3 linked regions of the Caenorhabditis elegans genome follow. The protein of the gene in region 3 interacts with the protein of the main gene of each other region in a pairwise test. Each region holds a gene or a part of one and is shown on either strand. Other genes may lie near its edges.

Evidence for each region.
Region 1: the proteins of nhr-34 (region 3) and srh-166 interact in a two-hybrid assay, tested with the Caenorhabditis elegans proteins (one large-scale study listed by BioGRID).
Region 2: the proteins of nhr-34 (region 3) and F35C8.5 interact in a two-hybrid assay, tested with the Caenorhabditis elegans proteins (one large-scale study listed by BioGRID).

The regions. Positions count from the first base shown.
Region 1 is NC_003283.11:20,521,924-20,528,681, reverse strand, and holds srh-166 (Serpentine Receptor, class H), read left to right. Parts: upstream 1-2,815; coding exon 2,816-3,134; intron 3,135-3,191; coding exon 3,192-3,385; intron 3,386-3,450; coding exon 3,451-3,754; intron 3,755-3,794; coding exon 3,795-3,982; downstream 3,983-6,758. Other genes in the region: Y38H6C.13 (F-box domain-containing protein), read right to left, coding at 218-295, 345-426, 728-807; Y38H6C.24 (Transposase), read right to left, coding at 1,945-2,027, 2,127-2,229; fbxa-150 (F-box domain-containing protein), read right to left, coding at 4,221-4,365, 4,432-4,574, 4,788-5,356, 5,402-5,487, 5,913-6,061; Y38H6C.9 (DUF38 domain-containing protein), read left to right, coding at 6,412-6,452.
Region 2 is NC_003284.9:5,362,970-5,370,395, forward strand, and holds F35C8.5 (Cholesterol 25-hydroxylase-like protein), read left to right. Parts: upstream 1-2,843; 5' UTR 2,844-2,845; coding exon 2,846-2,941; intron 2,942-2,987; coding exon 2,988-3,075; intron 3,076-3,128; coding exon 3,129-3,406; intron 3,407-4,075; coding exon 4,076-4,165; intron 4,166-4,211; coding exon 4,212-4,316; intron 4,317-4,358; coding exon 4,359-4,604; 3' UTR 4,605-4,650; downstream 4,651-7,426. Other genes in the region: Dual specificity mitogen-activated protein kinase kinase jkk-1, read left to right, coding at 5,696-5,729, 6,386-6,493, 6,644-6,724, 6,772-6,882, 6,931-7,043; F35C8.8 (uncharacterized protein), read right to left, coding at 6,347-6,366. UniProt on the Caenorhabditis elegans protein: Probable sterol desaturase.
Region 3 is NC_003282.8:9,668,017-9,676,396, forward strand, and holds the start of nhr-34 (Nuclear hormone receptor family member nhr-34), read right to left. Parts: upstream 4,655-8,380; 5' UTR 4,646-4,654; coding exon 4,551-4,645; intron 1,289-4,550; coding exon 1,167-1,288; intron 1,061-1,166; coding exon 845-1,060; intron 203-844; exon of another isoform or gene 182-202; intron 1-181. UniProt on the Caenorhabditis elegans protein: Orphan nuclear receptor.

The sequences.
Region 1 (6,758 bases), on a different chromosome or scaffold from region 3:
AACTTCCGCTCTTCACTGCAATCCAGGTGAACTTCCTTCACCCAGATCTTGATTTCTCGTTTCTGAATTTCAGCAACCAGAAGATCAAAAATTGATCGATTTGTGGATTGATAGAAAAGCTGAAGATCCAGTCGTTGAACGGTGGAGTTTTTGTTTTCAAAAACTCGGCAGAAATTTTGAATTGAAAACTTCTCGAATCCAAATCTACTGTTAGTTCTTAGGTCGACAATGTTTTTGAATGGAATTTTATCCACCGCCAAGCTGATGTAGTGTTGTCTGAATGCTTCATCAGATTCTGAAAACACTTTTTAAAAAATAATGTACAGCGTTCAAAGCCTACTTACAACAAATTCCAGGTTATCGAGGTGAGTTGGCAGTTTATCGACGAGCCTCATTTCTTGAGATGCACACAGACGAGTGTTATATCTGGAAAATAAAAAATTTGCGGGCAAGATGAAACAACTAGTTATCAAAGAATTAGGCATGAAGGTAGGCTAGGTAGGCATCGAATTTCAAAATGATACTGCACAAAAAATTTCCAAATATTTTTTATGGTGGGTCGAAATTGCGAAAGAGCCAAACTTTGCTAAAATCTGAAATTATGCCCATTTTTCTTTGTCGCAGCCAATGGAGTTTTGAAAACATTTTAGGCATTTTTTGTGAAGTCTCACTATGAACTTTTGTGATTGTGGACCTGTTTTAGTCTATTTCAACATATAAAAAATACCTGTCAGCAAATCCCATGTTTTTTATAACTTCTCTTTTGAGTTCTTCAGGCAATCTTGGCCAGTATTCGAAGGATTCCATGACGTTATTATTTAGACGGATGAATTGAAAAAAATTTGAGCACGCAGACAAAAAACTGAAAATTATGCCCTTCTACTTCAGTTTCGTGTGTGAGTTATCTCACGCCCTTTTGTTCTCCTAGCAACCTCATCTGTCCAGTGTTGTTTTAATTTCTCAGTTATCTCTGCGTCTTTCATCTAATATATTCATTGAAGTTCGAAAAAGGAGTTGTGTAGTATGTGAAAAAAATAAATAAATTTTTGGATGTTTCAGATGTTTCCTTGACAACCCGTGATGCTTGAGCCCAAAGCTGGAGATGCCTCCTCCTAGTTCCAGTAATTGCAGGAAAGGCATCGGAGAACCTTCGTAGTAGAAAAAATTACAGAGTTCGTCATAACAGAGGCCTCACCAAGAAAGCACCCTTTCTTAGACTAGTCTAGTTCCAAAAATTCCAGTTAAAGTATTTAATTTACAGTAAACTCCCTGTATACACGTGGTGTCCGAGTGTTCCATTTCGGTTTGATCTATTTAGATCTACAAAAATTGCAGGAATTGGGACGCAGAGTTCTCAACTTTCACATGGTGCTTACGTCACATTTTTTTGGGAAAAAATTGCCGCATTTTTTGTAGATCAAATCGTAGTGGGACATCCAGGCATGACATATGTATTCCGGTTAATTTCAGGGTTTGATGATGCCGTTTTTCAATTAGCTCATTTCACTCTTTCCCTCTGAAGCTAGATCCCCAAATAATACCATGGTAACCAAAACGATGATAATATTGGCAACACAAGAATATTGCGCACCTCTGAGTATGTTATACTATGTCCGTAATATCTGCGTCTGGCCAGGGAAACCTATTAATTTGGCCAACATTTTGAAGACTCAGAGACCCATCAGTGCATCGTTGGGCAGCAAAGCAAAGAGCTAATCTGCTGAGTTTGCTTAATGTAGTCATAGAGAATAAGATTTGTTCCTCATAAGATTTTCATTAATTTAAACAAAAATTTGGGAAGCAACCCCCCTTAGCTTTAGGAAAGAAAGACTACTTGAAAAAACTTTTTAATACAATTTGAATCACATTTATTATCAATTAACAGATAAAAAATGAAAAATGAGATCACACATCTTAAAAGGATAAAAAACAAAACATTTAAAATCAAGATCGAAGTGATAAGCCTTGGAACATAATGCGTTTTCCATTTTCTTGAATACTACCATTATACGAATCAATTAGAGTTTCTGAAATCAAGAAAATTACACAGTTGTTAAAATTACCAAGTTGGATTAACTCATGAAATTGATTTAAAAAAGAAGTTATCAAAACGAAAAATCCCTTACCTTCACTCCTAAAACTGCTTTTAAAATCAAAACCTTGAAATAACAGATAAAAATTGATAGCATACACGAAAATCATCAAAACTGCACCGATGTTAACTGACATTTTCCAAATCTCCAACACTTGGCTTCGTTTTAATATATATTCACCACCCTGAGCACTAATAGGACACGCCTACTTTTTCCAATTTCCTTTTCCTAGGTTTGGGGTTACGAAATATATGTAAGTACACTTTATTTTATGTTTGTAGTGAATTCCTAAACAAGTGAGTCACCTGGAAAGAGCCTTATCGGTGATAAGGAAATTGTGATGTGATTTTAATGTCTGGAGTTTTGTCTTGATAAGAAATGATTATTGTTAAGGTGATCAGGAAACACGAATATGATTCATAATTAATAAATATAAATCGCGGAAAAACAGAGTCGTTTTAGAGTTACATAGCAAATAGAGTGTTTACTAATTCTTGAAATTTCTGAATTTGATGGTTTTCTGTGGACCAATACTTTATTTTAAACCTTATCAATGAGCATTTTAGGTATGTTGTGTTTTTTGCCGTTCTTTTTTTTCAAATAAATGCCAGAGAAGCCTGACAGCATAAATCAGCAAAATTAATTAACAAAATTAATTGGAATGCAACGCCAAAAACATTCTCATTTCATTTCAACTTCCCTTTGCTAATTTCACTTGTCGAATGTGTAGCAAAACTCCAATATTATCTGATAAAGACACATATCATGCAAATGCTCTTCACATCCTTACCTCGTTCGAGGTTCCTATTCATATCTTCGGTGCTTATATTATCATAGCAAAGACTCCAAACAATATGAAAAATGTAAGAACGAATATGCTGGTTCTTCACTTGGCGGGTGCCTTATTAGACATTTATATGAGTTGCCTAGAAATTCCAGTATTCCTTTTACCTGCCTGCGCCGTATATCCACTTGGAGTACTAACGATGCTTGGGGTTTCAACTGTTTTTCAAGCCTACGTAGGGGTTTCCCTTATTGGAGGTATGGTTTATTCTGGTTGTGTAAACAGAAAACCATTTTTTAAAAATTAAAATTCAGTGATTGGAATGGCGATTCTTATGTTCTTCGAGGAGCGATATCACAAGTTAATCAGAAATCCAGGTGTAGATAGAAAACGTGGCTGGAAGTACGTTGTATACATTGCTATTCACTATATTATTTCAATAACGTTCATTCTACCTTGCTTTTTAAATATTCCCGATCAAAATCTTGGAAAACTAATGATTATGGAGGTTAGTTTAGTCCTCTAGCATTGAAATCTTTGGACCCAATTAAACAATTAGGTATTGAGTTTCAGACAAATCCCTGCATTCCAGAAGAAAAAATAAATCATCCCGATTTTTTTCTATTAATCACTGAATCTGGTCCGCTCTACTTGAGCCTCGGAATCGCGGCTCTTGTTATTCTCCCACAGGGCGCATTTTTCATCTTAAGTATATTTTGGTATCTTTTCACGCTGAAATCAAAATCGCGAGCCACAACTCGTCTGCAAAAACAGTTGTTCTTCGCAATGTGCTTACAAGTAGCCATTCCAATTTCCGCTATTTGTATTCCAGCCGGTTATTGCGTTGTAGTTGTTGTCGTCGGTTATTACAATCAAGGTAAGCCTCGTAAAGTTTGCAGAGTAATGAAGCCTTTTAGAAGCCAATAATCTTGCTGTATTTACAATGGCACTTCATGGAGGTCTATCAACGTTTGTTATGCTGACCGTGCACGCACCTTATCGAAATGCGACTTTGGAAGTATTTGGAATTAGTTTCAAACGAGTCGTACAGAAACCTAATCAAGTTTGGAACAAATCAGTCAATGAAACAGGAGTAGTACCGTAGTACACAAGTACCCTAGTACCCCAGTACCCCAGTACCCCAGTACCCCAGTACAATAGTCCCCTAGTATCCCATTACCCTAGTACCCTAGTACTCTACATAGTACCCTAGTACCCAAGTACCCTAGTACCCTAGTACCCGTTACGCACATCTTGTGCCTGGTGTCCGACAAGCAGTTAAAAACTATTCTGTGATATAAAATAATTCATTGATAACAATTTGTGCTTATAATTAAAATTTACTAAAATTTCGTTCGAAACGTTTCCCAAATATGATCCCGGCTGCAAATTGATCCAGTCACATCAAATATGCTGATTGAGACAACGAGAATATTGTTGGAGTCCTCTACATCGAAGAACTGCACGTGATAAGTGTAGGCTGGGTAGCTGAAGTAGAAATATTTATATTTAGTTTCAATGGGAAACTATCGAAAATGTTCCTCTAAAACTCACCTCAATTGTAATGCGGCAATTGTAGGAGGCTGATGCTTTGGCTGAACATCGAATTGGCGCAAAACTTGCAAGTGATCAATGATTACAGCAACCTCAATGTTGAAAAACGAGCCAATGGGTAGGTTGGGTCTCGAGCGGAAGTTCTAAAAATTTGATGTGATGACTATGTATGTAGATTGAGAATAAAGTTGGTACAGCACCGAGCGACCCACGATTTAATCTTTATTGTTGTAAAAGAAGTATTAGGCAAGGGTTCAAATTAACTATGGGCTACGGCCTACTTGTTCGGACAAGTGCCTAAATGCGGATCTCTACGTGGACCTGGTAAGGTTTGGACAGCTACCTTCTTGTCTCACCTTGATCACTTTCCAAGCATCTTCCGGTACCAGCTGATGCACTGTGAGCATGTATTTCTCCACGTGGCTCAGCATGGCATAGTCCACTACGACAGTTTGATCTACCCCAGGCGTGTACCCCCTCGGATTCTTCTTGGCGTGAAGATCCAAGGATTTAGCTCTCTTGAAATGATCGGTAATTTTCAGTTTGTCAAAAACCTTCCCACTCAGCGATTTCATTGTGATTTTTTCTAGGTATTCCATTTCGAAGCGGCTTAGGAGCTTTTGAATCCATTTCGACGTAGATTCATTGCAGTCTATTGCGATTTCTCGAGCTTTGATAATAATTTCGGATTTTTCAAGTTCTGAAATCAAAAGTGGCATAATTGAACGATGAGTCGATCGGAATGGGAATTCGAACACAACTCGTTTTGCATTTGAGTTTTTGTTACGGAAAATTCGACAGAAAGTCTCAACTGCCCCGACTCCAACGGCCATCCTAGTTTCTTGATTGAAATTTTTAAGTTTTTTGTTAGGAATATTGTCAATGTCCAGGAAGATATAATATTTCTTATTGGTTGGGTCGGATCCTGAATGAATGTTTTTTTCTCCAAAAATTGTAGAAGGACACGAACCTTCAAGAAAATTGATACTGTTCAAGTTTTCTGGAATTTTGTCAGCCAAAATCATTTCTGTGCGTGAACATTGACGGATGATGCTTCTGGAAATTATTGGTGTTTTTTGGTTTGCACGTTTTTTTGAGAGAGCTCATTCTAAAATTATAGTCTGAAATACAGAAAACATTTTTGAAAATACTTTTTCACTGAAACAAGAGAAACTCTAGTTTTTTTTTTGAAAGAAAATGTTTCGACGGGAACTTCAAATTTTCTAAAAAATGTTTGGCGGGATATTCTATTTTTCAACCAAAAGTTTTCAGATACATAGAAAAAATAAAAATTTTCAAAGGGCTTTCAGAATTTTGTCTAACCTAGACAGTTTCCAAATCAACAAAAATTTGCAAAAACTCCGCTCGACTTTTTTTCAGGACCAAAATGCTCCACCGCAGCTGATTTTTTTTGTTGAGAGTTTATTTTAAAGGTTTTCTTTAAACTTCATTATTAGAACAGTCAGAAAATTTTTTCGTACCTATCTTCAAAATCCAGCTGTTTCAGTACTTCTCTCATAATATCCTCAGGCAATTTTTGCCATTGACTGAATTTTCTGTTTTTGAGATTTTTCTTTTTGCTCATTTTGTCGCATTTTGTGTGCAAAGGTAAATCCGGTTTGTTCTTCATAGCCAATTCTTGAGAATCTGAAATAAAAAGAAAAATATTGAGAAATATTGCAAAATTTGCATTAAAACGAAAGCGATGATTCAATTCAAAAAAACACGTCAATTTTTCAGCAAAAAAAAATGAAAAAAGTCAAAACCATAAAATATTTGTCACATTCGAGGCAGGCAAGGAAAACGAGAGGGTTAGAGAAATAGACAAAAAAGAAAACATATTGCGAAATAATGCAAATGTGAAAAATAATGGTTCTGTATCGTTTTTTTTTTCTTGGCAAGAATTATTGGATTTTATTTTGTACAGCAATTTATTAGAAAATGAGAAATTTCGAAAAATGGCCTGAACTGCCGGAGGACATGAAGTTGGAAGTAATGAAATATTTGACTTTTGGAGAGAGGTTAGTTTAATTTTAAGCATTGGAAAATTAAAATAACTTTCGGAAGAAATTCGATTGCGGTGAGAATTCAAAACTAAAAAACTTAGAATTAAAGTACGTATTTTTAGAAAATTCTGAAAAGTGCTTAAAAAATCTTTCTTGAAAAATTTTGGTTTTTTACCGATTTACTAGAATCATGAGGTAGTTTCAAAAAATTATAACTGGTTCATTTTATATTTTCTGAAAATTGAAAATTCTTCCTGCCACAATTTTCAAAAATGTTTCAATTAAAGTTTTGCACCAAATTTTTTTAGACTCTGAAAATTT
Region 2 (7,426 bases), on a different chromosome or scaffold from region 3:
TTCAATTTTTATTTCTCATTTGAAAATTCAACTTCCGCTTTGAATTACGCGAACTTTTTTTTTACCACCATTAGTAATGTTTCTTTTGAAGTTGTGATTTCATAGATAATTATAACTTTCAGAGATAATACTTCCAATAGTTCGTTTTTTTTTCAGAACTAATTGGAAAAAAACCCTGAACTCTAATATTAGTAACGCCACCACACCAAATCAAAAAATAAAATTTTCAAGTAAGACAGTAGGAACATAAAATAAACGGGATGTCCAAAAAATATAGAAGCCCTCAAAATAATTGCACCTATCTTGCTTTCACATCGTTTTACTTTAGGAACGACTCGCCTTTTTTTTTTTGAACAATTGCACCTGCTGTGGGTTGTTTCCTTTGGCTTTTCCTTTTTTGCCACTAGTACGAATAATTTTTAGTGCAAAAAGCTTTACAACAGCTAGTAGAAAAAATATTTTTGAAATTTTACCTACCTCCTTTGTAAATTGAAGTCGCTCATAGGGTTGTTGTCCCGTTTGGACTCTGCCGTCCCTGAAAAAGATTAAATTTAAAAAAAATACAAGAGCAGGTTTTTGTTTTGTGATGCTCTTTTTTTTAATTTATAAAAGAAAATTGTAGACATTCATTCTTTAACTCTAAGAATATAATACCATTAAGTAATACACATATGTAGTTCACATCTGTTTCATTACGTTCAATAAACACATCACAATTATCTTTTTTTTTTATAAAAAGGAAGCCCCTGAAAAATCATGTGAAAAATTTCACCTGGAGCAGTCTGAATTGCCATTGCAGAGTTGCGGCAAAACTGAGGGGCAGCTGAAAAAAACATATGAAACCATATTAAAATAAATAAACTACAGTGTCCTGTAACAGAAAATGAAACAAAACGAGCGAGGCTATCAAGTTGAAGTTAAAACTGAAGCCTTTCAGTCAAAGATATCTCTATAGTAACCTGAATAACATTCAATTTTCTAACTCTCCCCCATAATCACACGCTATGCGCTTGCTTTTGTTGATAAGTTTTTTGTCGGTTTTTGTGAAACGAAACGAAACCCAATTAGAGAGAGACGATTGCTATGGGAACTCGGCGCATATTTCCTCTTGGGGTTTTGACATCATGTCTAGAAACTCAAAACTTGAAATCATAATGTATACATCAAGTTCTGTTTCACCAAACAAACAACAAATCTAAAAAAAATTCTAAGTAATATATACAAGACACAACTCAACCTTCAATTTTTTCCTTATCGTTTCCTACCAGATTTATACTAAAAACTGACCTTCATAACTGTAGTTGTATTGTTTCATAGTTAGTGCAAATGCAGTAGCAGCAAAAAACGCGGCACAATGAAAGCGAAACACACCTTGCCACGGCTAACTATGTATTTACTTTTGGCCTACTCTTCCTCCCAAATGTTCAGAGATGAAAACAAATAGATATTACGGTTTGTAAGCAAACGTGTGAACTTTTGAATGTTCGCAAGTCAAGATATAGAGTTGAATTCCGAAAAATAATAGAAAACTGTAGTGAAATTGAAGGTGAAAATTGAAAATTGAGCAACAAGTATAGCCGAGCAACCAAAGGAAAGATATTGTAAAGTGAAAAAGATTTACGATAAGGATTGATTAAAAATTGTACTTGCCTGATGATTGCAAGCGCTTGTTGTTGAATCAAGAACATCAAGAAGCCGAAAGGAAAAAATTCATTAGCCTTTTTGGGAAATGAGCGGTGATGATGCCGTGAAGGAAGTTGTGTGCACTATGTTGAAGTAATAACATATCCGGGTCACCTGAAAGTGTATAAAAAATGTTGGACTAGAAAGAAATGTACATCAAACATTAAAAAATTCAATATCCAGGTCACAATATACTATAGTTCATTTTTCATCTTTCTAGCCAAAAAAAAACTTAATCTTTAGAACTGAGGCTTAATTTTTAAGCTGCGTTTTAAGAAATATGCTTTCAGGCTACTGTTTTCAAGCTGCCTTTTTAGGCTCAGTGATGATAAATATTTTCAGGTTTAGATCTTCAGGCTTAGTTTTTAGGCTTGATTTATATTCTGAGGTTATCAGGTTTAGGTTTTCAAATACGTTTTTCGAAACATTCAACATTTATAAACATTGACTCCACGTGAAAAGTTTCATGAAGTATCAAAAATGAAAAAGAAAAAACCTTCGTAAAACTATGAACATAAAGAAAAAAATTTGAAAAGTGATTGAAAAAAAATTACACTGCTCAAAACACACATTTCAAACATTTTGTTCTGTACCTGTACATCATTTTTTGAAAGCGATGTAACCACTGTGTTTTGTAAAGTTCTTGTTCATTATAATTCACACGTGTTTAAAATAATTTTTTAGTTATCAGAATGACATTACAAGTGGTGATGATAACTGATTAGTAGTAGACATACCGGTTATTTTGCACGCGGTTTTACTCGTTCAATCTTTTGAAGGTTATACAAATCTAACACCTTTCAAAGAAAATGACATACATACTTATTTTTATGGGTGTTTATAAATTTATACTGTTTTCATGTATTTTAGGAAATAAATAATTTTAACGAGCTTTTTTCAAAATTGTATGTCTTATGTCCATGAATGGTAATTATAATTGTAGTCTAGTAGTTATTTTTGTTGAAATTTAAATACTTTGCTTTCAGTACTTTTCCATCATCATACGTCTCTCAATTGGCTTCTACTTGCTCTCTTATCATTAACCATTTTTATGATAACCAGACGCATAGTTTCATTTTCTCAGACCATATTTATTTTTCAATTTATTTGTTTCTTTTTGTATTCTGTTGAATTTTGAGCTACAATTGTGTGGTATTTTTAGATGTTAGACCTATACCCTGTTCAAAATTTAACAGTTGATCAGTTGGAATACGAGAAGAATACACGATTTCTTCAACCGGCATGGGATTGGATCAAAGTTAGTTTCACCTAACCTTTTTTTGTAAATCATGATTCGATTCCAGAATGGAAATGAACACATTTTAAGCTCGCCGCTTTTCCCGCCGTTCTATGCGCTCTCAATCGATTACACTTGGGTAGCCGTTTTCACATGTAAGCACGTACCACGGGTTGATAACATTGAATTAAACTACAAAATGTTTCAGTTATTGACGTGTTTCTGTGCAACGTTCCATTTTTCAAAGATGCAAAAATCCAAAAAGATCGAAAAGTGACCTGGGATTTGATAAAGAAGTCACTGAAGCTTCAAGGATGGAATCAGCTCCTGTGGATTTACCCGATGGCACTTGTCCAGTTAATTTGGGTACCTGATACAGAGCTTCCTATCCTGGCACCAACAGTTTTTGAAATGCTTTCACAGCTGGCTATATTTTTCCTGGCCTTTGATTTCACATATTTCTGGTTCCATTATATCAATCACAAGGTAATTGATAACAAACAACGGTTGCATGTGTGAAGTATGATTGGAGTAGTCATAAAACACGGTTTTTAATAACTTGTAAATCGAGTTACATTGAAACTAATTAGACCATGTTTCACAATATAATTCAAAACCTTCTCTGAATGTATATAATCGGGAACTCACCAGCTACAAATAATTTTTTGTTGTGCAAAGCTCGCCAATTTTCCACCAGGTTTACATTCGTTTAGGCAAAAGTTTCCAAAACGTTGCACATTCCGAGTACTAATTCATATTGCGGAACCTGTCATTTTGTCGAAACGTCCTGATAGGAACTTTTTGATTGTTGCAAACGTTTCAGTGTTTATTTTTACGATTCCTATTATTTGGTTATCCATGTATGCAAAGAGGTTTATTAAAATGTATATTTTGACGTCACATAATGCATTTTAGTTTATGCTATGACGTCATAATTTACATCAATGTTGATTTCTTCATTAGCAGCTTTTCTCTCACTTGAAATTAAGATTCGAAATAATTTTTTACCAACGTTAAGCACGTTTCAGTTTGAATTTCATAAAGCTATTACATATTTTTCAGCGATTCAAAAATTATATTATCAGTGGAATGAATCACTGATAGTCATAATTGTCCTATACACAAATCATGGTAATATCACTCAACATTTTGCAGGTAAAATGGCTCTACCGCTGGTGTCACTCTGTTCATCATATGTACTCATCCCCATTCGCAGCATCTGCACAACATCTTCACCCATTTGAGGTTTTTGAAAATTGAGATTTATAACTAAAATAGTAAGTTTTTTCAGCTGTTCTTTGTTGGAACATTCATCACCACTATCCCATGGATCTTCCCAACTCACTGCTTGACCTACTGGATTTGGTTCTTTATCGCCCAGAGCGTCTCTTATGAGGTATTAAAATTTGACCTTTAAAGTTGACAAAGTTGAATTCAGGTTCACATTGGATACGACTTCCCATTTGCTCTTCATCGCATTTTCTGGTTCTACTCGGGTGCTCCGGCTCATGACATGCACCATCTGAGACCACTGACATGTTTCCAACCGTGGTTCAACTATCTCGACAGACTCATGGGTTACCATATTACCTACGCCGATTTGAAAAAGATGACCGAGGCAAAATTCAAAAAGTTCGGGCTCTATTCAGCTGAAGACGAGAAAGGATTAATCAAAATTAACTAAGCCACGTACATGTATTACCCCGTAACGCAATAAACGAACTTTTTTTGCTGTTGAAATGTGCATGAGTGAGCAAGACTTTTTCGGAACTTTGTGTTTGCTCCCAGACAGACCGGAAAATGTGAAAGTAACTGAATCAGAAGAAATGTGGTATTGAAACGTGAGATCTTGCAAAAGGAACTAAGAACACGAGACTTGACCAAAAGTTCAAAAGGTTGCTTGAAATGTAAATAATTTTAAATCTGAAATATCCCCCACCAAAAGGGTTAACCTGTCCAAATTGTGGTAAATCTATTTTTTTTAATTGAATTTTGTTTTCATAGTCAAACAATCGTAATTCTGAAACGTGGCCAAAAATGTCTACAAGTTTTAAAACAAGCAACTGTGACTCAAACATTTGTTCGGAGTATTATTTTTAACCAGGTGAATCGTTTCTATTTGGAACCTCGAATCGTCTTCAACAGAACATGCTTCACCCAATTTTCTCGCTGATGAGATTTGTGCAGAGGCGCATGTCTGTGTGTCATCGTGTAACTTCTATTTGCCGGCACAAAGAAGATGAGCAACAAAAAGACCTCCTCCAAACTTGCCCCCATTCAAATCGCCCATTAGCGTTTAGCCTTTCTCTCTTATAGGACCACCCATTGAAGCTGCAAAGATTCACGCATCCCAAACGCGTCGAAATAGAGGATGATGGGGGGACCAATTGGAAATGAGACATGCGCGAGAAGAGAGAAAGAGCCGAAGAAAGGAGCAGTTCTTCCCGCATATTTTCACTAGTATGTGTGTGCATTTATAGCCTTCCCCCTTCTCCTTCTTCACGGCTCCTCCTCCACGATGTGGGTGATGAGAGCGAAGAGGGGCCAGACCGGGAGCCCCTGCGCTTCTTCGACTAGCATTGTGCATTCAGAATCGATAGCTGTGTGTGTCTTGCCATTTCGTCTACTACATTGGGCTAGTGGTGCTGCTGCTGCTGTCGCTGCCGCGAGGAACCTCACATACGTCTTCTTATTAAAATTTCGGAACGAGCGACGACGGCCAACGGGTCATTCTTTCATTCTTTTATTTTGTTGTCAACTCTACCTTGGTTTTAAATGGAGAATGTCTGTTTTCAGCAAAGATTACGAGGTAAACATATAATTTTTCATATATTTGTTTATTGTCGGCTGAGTACGTAGCAAAATATTCGTAGATTATGTATATTCCGTTTAGAATCTTTGATGAAAATTTAATGAACTGCAAAACAGGTCAACCAAGTTGCTGATTGCCAGAAAGTAGCCTTAGGTTCGGAAATCATCGGTTGTCGGCTGCCGAAAGTTTTATCGTTCGCCAACTTCGGCAACTTTCGATATTAATTTCAATTGTTTTGTAAATACGCATTCAAAGACCCTAAATATTGCGAATATCGTCACTGTAAATAAAACAATTATATTTTTTCCTCGAAAAACACTCTGAAATATGAGTTTAACAGAAATATATGTTTGAACAACGCCAAGGCCTCGGCAGCCGACGGTTGCCGGTTGCTGAAAATTTCAGCGATTGGCAAATTCGGTAACCGCTCATTGACTGATACCCAGATGATGCTGATGCAATTAATTTTCAACCTGTAACCTAAATTTTAGTGAAACAAGGTAGCCAACGAACTTATACCTCTTGATAAGAAAAGTACTTGGCTTCTCGGGCAATAGGTACCACAAAAACTACTAAAAATAACCAAAGTGTCAATCAGCGCCAAACACACAATCTCATTTCCTCCGTGTTGAGTCTGTAATAATTGATTTTAGATCTGGAGACGAGGGTGAGAAAATGGAAATTCTTGAAGTTGGGATTGACTGAGGTTCGGCTACGGCCGAGAGATCGCCGATCAACTTCGGTAGATCAAAAACATAAAGGTTTGTCTTGAAATATTGGTGTCTAGCCTTCAAATGGCATCATTATTCTTAAAATTCCATCTAATTATTCTTTGTGATGAGATCATCGGCTCAATTCCAAAAAACACGTATGTGTTGTCATTCTTAATTCCCTCAAATTTTGTTTTACAGAATGCTCTTCCACATCTTCAAGTCCTCAACACCAACGGCCGAATAACATTGGGTATTTAACAAGCCCCATGGAAAGAAAATGTGTGCCTGGAGAACGACCTTTAGTTATTACATACATACAATTTCAGTTACTCCGCTTTCCATGAAACCATCGCCATCCAGAAGAGATACTGAGAAAGATGCGTTGGAATACGAGTTTCTAGAAGGGTACAAGAAATCGGGAACATTAGAAATTGATGGTAAGACATACATCAAAGCTTTAATTTTTAAAATCTTTTTCCTATCAGGAGAAAAGCAAGTTGTCGACCCAAACGAGATTCACATCATCAGCCTGCTCGGAAGCGGCTCTTGTGGTGTAGTCGAATCTGCGACGGTTCGCTCAAAATTGATGGCTGTGAAGGTGAGCATTACCCCTCACACGGAGGCAGTGATGTATGGTTGAGATACACATCCGGACCACTTTGAATAGAATAAATCTTGCATGGCTCCAGTATGAACTCTTGAAAAAAGATTGACAGAATCGTTGCATACGCAATTCAAAAGAGAAGGGGTCCTTCACGGGTTATCATGCGGGGGCGAAAAATTGTAGTGGTGCTAAAGACCATTAGAAATTCCATTGTTTTCGTTTTTCTTGATTCAATTGTCAATGCAAAGCAAATGCGTTAGAGAGGAGGAGAGACCTCTAAAATTGGTGGAAAACAAATTTCAGTAAAAATTCTGAACCTCTTTCAATGTGAGAACAGTAGTTTGATAAATGCGACTCTAGAGAATACGTTGACACAG
Region 3 (8,380 bases):
TTTAATAAGAGAAACACTATTTATTTAAATATTATCATATTAACACTTTGTAGTAATGCAGTCAAAAAAATGTGAAAATTATTAGTATTATTTGTAATAACTTTTGTTTATACAAATATAATGTAGTTTCACTATATGTTTCAATTTCTTATCTTCAAAAATTGTAATCTTTTCTCTTTGATGCGACTCTAGATCTTTACACTTTTTCCAATGGACAGTGCTTAGCACAACGAAACATATATTTTTCAAAGGTGAGTGATGTCTGAACTTTGGCTCAGAGAGTTCACAAAACCACGTGACAAATGTTTAATAAAGTTGTTGATGTCATTATTTGAATTATTTGAAAAGTTGCAAAACTGTGTGTATTTGAAACCGAAACCATAATTGGTTGATAAACATGTGATTCGATATTGTACCTGTTGAAACGAACAAATACTGCTCATTGTGCTGTTTGCACTTTTTTCTGCGGGAAGGGCAGTTTTTAGAATTGCTGGATAAAAATGTCAAGGTAGAAATAAACAGACAAACTTAAAATAGGAGTCAGGGAAATCAATGATAAAAAATAAATTTTTGGATCAATTTTAAGAAACTACGTTTTAAAAACACATTTTTCAGTTTATTTTTTCAAAATTTAGTTACAGTTTTGGATATTTTCAGAATTGAAAACGTAGTCTATAATCAGTCTGGAATTTAAGTTTCTAATATTTTTGCAATACAACTAAAAACAGGAAAATTTGAATTAAAGCTTTTCGAAAAAAAAACTTTTACAGTTTATTTTTTTGTGTTTTTAATGCAATTGTATTTTGGTCTTCTGAAATTTTTGATGTTGAAAAAAAAGACAAACCGCTTTGCACATTTCCCATTGGTATATCCATACTCATATCTTCTGTTTTCGGGTTAATGAATTCGACAGATCTGGGTACAATGCAGAGAGGAGGTGCCACCGATGATGACGTCATACGATCTGCAACGGACATTTGAGCAGCTCCAGCAGCCGTGACGACACCCTTGAGACTTGATGTACATGCTTGGGATTCGTTAGGTGAAACTGCATCGGTCACTAAAACAGATAATAATTTTTAAGCAATTTTTTAAAAGGATAATTAAAAGTAAGAAACTTTTTTATGTTTCAAGCTATGTACATAATACTTAATCCAAAAACTTACAATCCAATGGCATTGCTGTCAAGACAGGCGGAGAAAGTTTTGGTCGTTTACGAGCTGGCTCCAATCCGGACGACGAATTCTGACGACGATGCGTAGTTGAAGTGGTTGGTGAGCCGTTTGGGCTGAAATTTAAAATTTGAGAAGTGAAAATGTGCTGAATTTAAGTAATTTTATTTTTAGAATTTTTATTAATTTCTGAAAAAATAATTAGAGATGAGGAATATGTATAAACATATATCAAAATTGAATTTTAATTATTTCTAGTTGATTGAAATCGTGGGATAGGGCAAAAAAACTGAAGCCAAAAGAAAACTATATTCATAATATCTTTAAAAAAATTATTAAAATAAAAACGAAAATGAGTTTCAAAGATAACACTTATACCTAAACTTCTACATTTATTATATTTCAAAAACTGTGTTGACCACAAATTAAGACGAAACGACATTAATCCATCTCAAAAATAAGTGTATGAAAAATCAAGAATTTGCAAAAATTACATTCAAGAATTAATTTTAAAAAACGGAAGACAAACCAGATTGAATTTAAAACTCGAAACAGAAGTTTGAAATTAACGAAAGATTTAAAATTCAGTTTTGTTAGTTCTGATGCAGTGAGTTGAAATTTCACAATTTGGGGTAGAGTTCAAAAAATTTCAATAAGATGTGAACAATCAGGGGCAGTTCCCGTAGAACGTCTTAAAAATACACATATAATATTTCAATTAATTGTGTATTTTTAAAAAGTTTGAAGTAACTCAAAAACTGAAATTCAAAAGTGAGAATATCAACAGGAATGGGACACAAGTTGACCTCGTGTCTGCGATGTCTCTACCGCTTTTCTCGCACCGTTTTCGTTTCCTTTTTCAACGCGCATACCGAAAAAATGTTTCGTCTCGATCCTGCGCGAGTTCAAACGTTCAAAATCAGCGTCACACAACTACATCGATTCAAACGAGAGAGGATTCAAAAATCAGAGACGCAGACAGTCCTAGAGAATCCTAGAGAAAATAGATGAGCTAGTGAGTGTCACGTGACGAAGAGATTCAGATGTGCAAGGCGATTTTTGTATGGGGAGAAAAACGGGTAGCAGTACCCACCGATATAGAGTTGAGATTAGACAACTAGATGATCAAACTATGATATAATATTCATAGAATATGTTCTTTTTTTTTAACTTGTAACTTTCTACAGAGATTGACGACACAACTGTAAATAGTTCTCAATTTGGAAATAGATTTCTAACAATATAGGATCAGAAAGTTACTGATGTGGGGAATTGCATTAAAAATTAAGTAGCTAGCAGAGAAATCTTGATAAAATAAATTTGAATGTGACCAAAAAATGAATGCAGTATAAATAATTACATTTAAATGTGTCAAAATTGAAAAAAAAACATTGGAAGGCGTGAAAAAACTGTAATTCTGATTATTTTGAGAAGGTTAAAGTTGCATATTAAATCTAAAAATATTTTTAAAAATTAAAAGAAAATCAAACAATCATTGGAAAAAACCATTTCTTGGTCTACTACACTAACAGAATAGTTCAAATTTTAGGGATAGAATTAAGGGAATTTTCGAGATTTTAAAAGTTTGAGTAAAATTTTATCACATTTTTAATAGTACAAATTAAATCAAAAATACAATTTCCACTAAAAACGAAAGAAAAAATTTCTCAAAATCAATTTCTGAAGACTATGGCTATTCCGTATCACAAAAGCTCCTTGTTACAGTGAAAAAAGTGTAGTCTGACAATTGAAACAAGAAACAGTTCCCTGCAACCAAATATAGTCAAAAACGATATTGAAACAGTGAGTGAGAGAGATTGAAAGCGAGGCAAAAAAAGAGTTGAAGACCAACATAAAATACACATAATCAGTGTAAAACTCACTGTCTTTCATCATCTCTTTTACTCTTTTTCCCTAGCGTTTCAACTGAAAAATGGAAACTTTTCGTCCTTTTCCCTCTCAATTCTGCCGACGGTTTGTTTGTACAAAGGGCGGCGAGAGAAGTATCAACGTGGATACGCAGAGAAAGGAGTGGATCGAAAGATCAAATTGAGTGTGAATTGAGTAGAGAGACACCACGTGGCACTACTGACCCGATGGTCAACAAGACGCTCGGATCTTTGGTCTTATAGTTAGCAACCAGAGAAGAATGTTTTACATTTTTATAGGATTGAAGTGGGAATTGACATTCAAAAACCCTCCGACTAATCCGTTATTTACTGGAAAAAGAGTGACGATGTTGAAAGGTACAGTTTGCACCGAATTCAGAATAAAATGAGAAAATCGTGTCGATAGGGTCAGGAATGGACAAGAATGATATCATCGGGCGAAGAATCGATAGTCGATTGACGCCATCCGATCAATTGGTAGAGGCAAAGGACTGGTTGTGATTTATGGAAGTTACAGGCAAATGGATAGATGGACAAAAATCGAACTTATTTAATTTAGTCCGATGTCTATGATTTCCAAAATTTTTGAACTAATTCCAAAATACAACTTGAACTTTTTGGAAGCATTTTTTAATCCTGTGCCATGAGTTCACGATTATTCAGCGTATGAAATTCCAGCTTAACTTCTAGAAATCGTGGAAGCATCTAGTTTTAGTGGTTCGTCAAAACTGTTTTTCTACAGAAAATAAACAAATGAACGTTCATGCCGTCAAGTCAGTCTTACCGCCGAATTTACACGTGTTTCTGCGCTGAAAAATAAAAAATACACTATTTCAAAGTTAAAATTTGCAGCAGTATCTGGAAAACATGTCACTTTTTCTTGAAAAAAGGTTTTTTTTATATTTACAAAGCAAACAAAAAAACATATATGACACACCTGAAAACATTGGCAGATCCGAAAATCTATTGATATAATGCAAAACAAAGAAGGCCTGTCAAATTGATGCAATGTGACTTCACTAGACTCTTTTTAAACTCTTGATCAAATAAAACTTGCAAATCAGAATATACTACAGTCTACTCAAATTATTTTTACTAAAAATTCATTTAATCAATTAGCGGATATATTGCTGGTAATATCAGTTTAATACTGATAAGAGTGAACTTGCAAAGCAGGCAGACAGCTTCTAAAATCTGTCAATTTTGAATGAACTGCCGACAATCGAACTTTCAATACTGTGTTTTTATAAGTTACTGTTAAAAGTCTTTAATTGAAAACCCCTCAAATAGATTAGTTCTTATTTAAAAAATAAAACAATCACGATCATCTCTTTTTTTTTCTTGTTATCATTTTTCTCCGAAAAGATCTCAAAATAAGTGATTATCATGTTTAGTTGTCTTCCTAACCGTATCTTCATTTTTCATAATTTCTATCATATTATCTTCTTCCTTTTTCTTTGATCTATTCCTTTTTTCTTCATTCTCCCACCTTTTATCAATACATTCTTGCACGTCTTCATTCCCAGTTTCACACCCAAAACGATCAGACATCCAAGATATATTGAAAATACAGTAATCCGTCATGCTAGGTGCCTGCAAAAGCGTTACATCACGTGGTCTTTCGATGACCCTGTATGACAGAGAAAAATGGGAGAAATTGATGAAATTCTGATGATGATGGTGGATAATATTATCGAATGTGGGATAGGAAAAAGAGTACAAAATACGTTATTTTTCATGAAAACTATTAGGAAAACTGGAACAACTGTTTGATCAAGTTACAGATAATACGGCAAGAAAAAATGTGACAAAGTCGTCAAAACTTACAATTAGATTCAGCAATATTTTCTAAATTTTGTAATAATCACTGTGAGCTCTAGGTGTTTTTTTCAGTTTTGCCGAACCTATGTTCAAGAATTCTCAACTACGATTTTTCAACAAAAAAATAATTTTTTGGGAAAAGCAGGGCACAGTGTTGAGTGCACCAATTTTTTTGTAGGACTCTTGATTACAGAACTGAAAAAATGCTTACAATTATAAAATTAAAAAAGGCTTTAACTGCAAATTGTAAATTGTGGAATGTAACCTTTTGAATTTCTTATTCGGTATGCATAAAAACATGTCAGGCGTACAAAATTTTGAAAATTGGCTGAACGGATGAAAATGAAAAAGCTTACTAGTCAGAACATAAATTGTATGGAGCACGATTTTATTCATTTTCAGTCGCGTCCCGTCGGCTCTGTATTTATAACAGGTATGTATGTCGGTTAAATTTTAAAAAATTAAGTGAAAGTTTGCATTATTCATAATTGATGTCACGTGAAGCAGTTGAAAAGGTGAGAAGGTCATGCGAAACCGGATCGCTTGATTAGAGTAAGAGTACGGCAAACTTTCATTAAGAAGTTTTGATTGCTGACAGTACAAAGTAGTAGTTTTAAAAATTGAATGTTATAAAAAGTACAATTTTCAAAATGTAGTTATTCGTAATCAGTTGCAAAGAGAATTCTATAAAATAAATTACTAAAACTTGCCCAGAAATGAAAAAAACATGGGAATAAACGTAGCATTTATACCACACAAACTATATTAAATATCAATTTCAAAAATGTTCATTGATCCAAAAAGAATCAGAAGAACAAAACAAAATACACATTTTCTCTTCTGACCTGACTTCACTTTAGTCAAAATCTCTGGCAGGGGAATTCGAAAGATCAGTTGGCGTAGACCAGCTTCTGACATATTCCTACAATCAGAATAGCTCTCTGCCCTCCTCTCCCGATAATCAGCTGTTATTGCACAGATTATCTTTTGCTCTTTTTACGTACTTCAAGCACGTAGCAGCATATTGAGATTATTCAAGTAGAGTAGAGACGATCATTTGATCTTCTCATATTTCTCGCCCCTTTTTCATCTGAAACCAACAAGTTCTGATTTGATGTGGTGGTCAAGAAGACTAGAGTTTGGCAAGCGTGCGCGCAAAGCAAAAGGAGGAGGACAAAGTGTTTTCTTTTGAATATATACGAAAAACAGAAAATGCGGAAAAAAGATCAAAAGATGGAGCAGTGATCTCTGCACCACCGAAACACAACACACTTTTTGCACACACACACGCATTGAGGGTGGTTAAAACGACGTAGATAAGGTTTCGAATATTAGACAAAAGGTATGGCGACTAGATGCGAGAGTCAGATTACAATATGACTTTCCAAAGAATTCATCACATAAATAAGAAGGTAATTTGTCTGACCTTTTTGTATTGGTGTATTGCTCTTGTGCCCTAATTTCTCAAATTTTCTACCTTCGCCATTGCAACCTACGCCTGCCTGTGCCTATATAGGCATCTATACTCTTAGTTTACTGCCAAAGCACACGCAAACCTCACTTTCAGCTTCATTCTAAAAACGTTTAGTGGGAAAATTAATTATGCGTAAATTTATGCTAAGCGAGCGCCAAGAGCGCCAAACGGAACTGCACCGCCTGTTGAAACTTTTAATAAAAAATCTTTTTCACAAGAATGAATCTTCTTGCAATGCGAAATCTCTACTTTCTAAAAATTTTTGATAAATAATTTTTTCAGTTTTTCACAATAGTAAAATGAACAAAACCGTCTTGAAAACTTGAAACACTTGAAAGGTATTTCTTGTTTTTTAGATTAATTTCACGAAACAAAACAGTACAATTATTACTTCTTTTACATAGTCAAAATTCTTACTAATTACTAATCCCCTGTGAAAATTAGACCCCTTATTTTCCATTTTTCTTCAAATTGGAAAAACAAGAAATCTAGTGTCTGGTCAACGGGGGAGCTGTGAACACCTATAACCAGGGAAGATGTCGCAAAAAGGATCAGAAAAACAAAACACACACACAATTCCTGCATATATATTTTTAATATCTTCTCATCCTAGAACTTTCCTCTCGTTTTAAATGACTATTTTAAATAGGATTATTTGGCGGTTTCCAGTCTCCGCCTACTTTTATCTGATCTTATTATGTTAGTGCATTTACTATATCTGATCTATCGAATAACACCAACTGCAAATACTACAAACTAGAGTATTGCCGTGTTTTGTAGTACGAGCATGATCAGTTCCAAAAATACGAGGAACATAACAAGTATCGTGGTATGGCTTCATTAGGATTTGCGTCAAGTTGTGGTCTAGGTATATAGGTATTTTCATAATCACTTGGTCTCAGATTCTGACTGAACACTTGATTAGAGTGAATTTTTTCGTGGTTTAGAGCTAGAAAAACCATGAATTTTGTTCAATTGGTTAAGTTGTGCACGTGATTATTGCCACTAGACGTTAAAGTATTTTTAGTCAGCATTTCTAAGAAACCGGAAGATTGATTACATTACAGGCAGCTGAAGTTCTGGGACCCGTAGTGTGGTAAGTCAGAAAGCAACGATCTCAAAATACAGCTAAGACCCAAGTCATCAATATGAAGAACAAGTTTCAAAAAATAGATTTTATTGAAAATATTTTAATTAAAAATGAAACCGTAACCATTTTTAAACCAATTAAATTGAAACTAACTTGTAATTTTGATGTAGTTGTTGATGTAAATCGTCCATCATTCTTTTGTAATTTTTCCTGGAAAAAATAAAGTTTTCATTGTCAAAATTTTGAAAATAAATGGTTTAAAGATGAGACAGAGATGATGAACAAAAAAGAGAAAAAAAAACAAGGAGAGTTAGAAAGAGAAGAAAATGAGAAAACGAAAAGAAGGGGCGTCAACTTGAACCACATTCAATTATTTTTTCATCTCGTTTTTTTTGTTGTTTTTCCTTATTTCTCCCTTTTTAGGTTTGTTTTTCTAGAATTTGTACAAAAGTGCAAAACCGACGAAAAAAATGGAAATATAAAAAGGATACCATGTGTTATGGGATAGTCTCTAAAAATTCTAGACTAGGTACAATTATATTGGATAGACCAATAGAATTATATCCTACTATTAGAATACAATAATACAATACCTAAGAAACAGTAAAAATTTGTAATAAAAACGGAGAAGTTTCAGAAAAAAAAGATCCAGCCAACTGAATTTCCATTGACTTTCAGTCAAGTTAAGAGACTGTTTTTGTTTTCTTCCCACATATTGGTCGGAAAAATTCAAAGAATCAAAAGTTCAATCAGTAGGTGGATTTGTTTTTGATTGGATTTGAATTAAATGCAACTGTTTCTCGTGTCTGTAGGATGGAAAAATTTGCAGATCAAGAAAATACAAGGAAGTTCAGTTTCTTTAAAGATGAAAACTGGAAAGATTCAAAAGATCAATTGAGAGATTAGACAATTTCTGAAAATATTTACAGGCAAT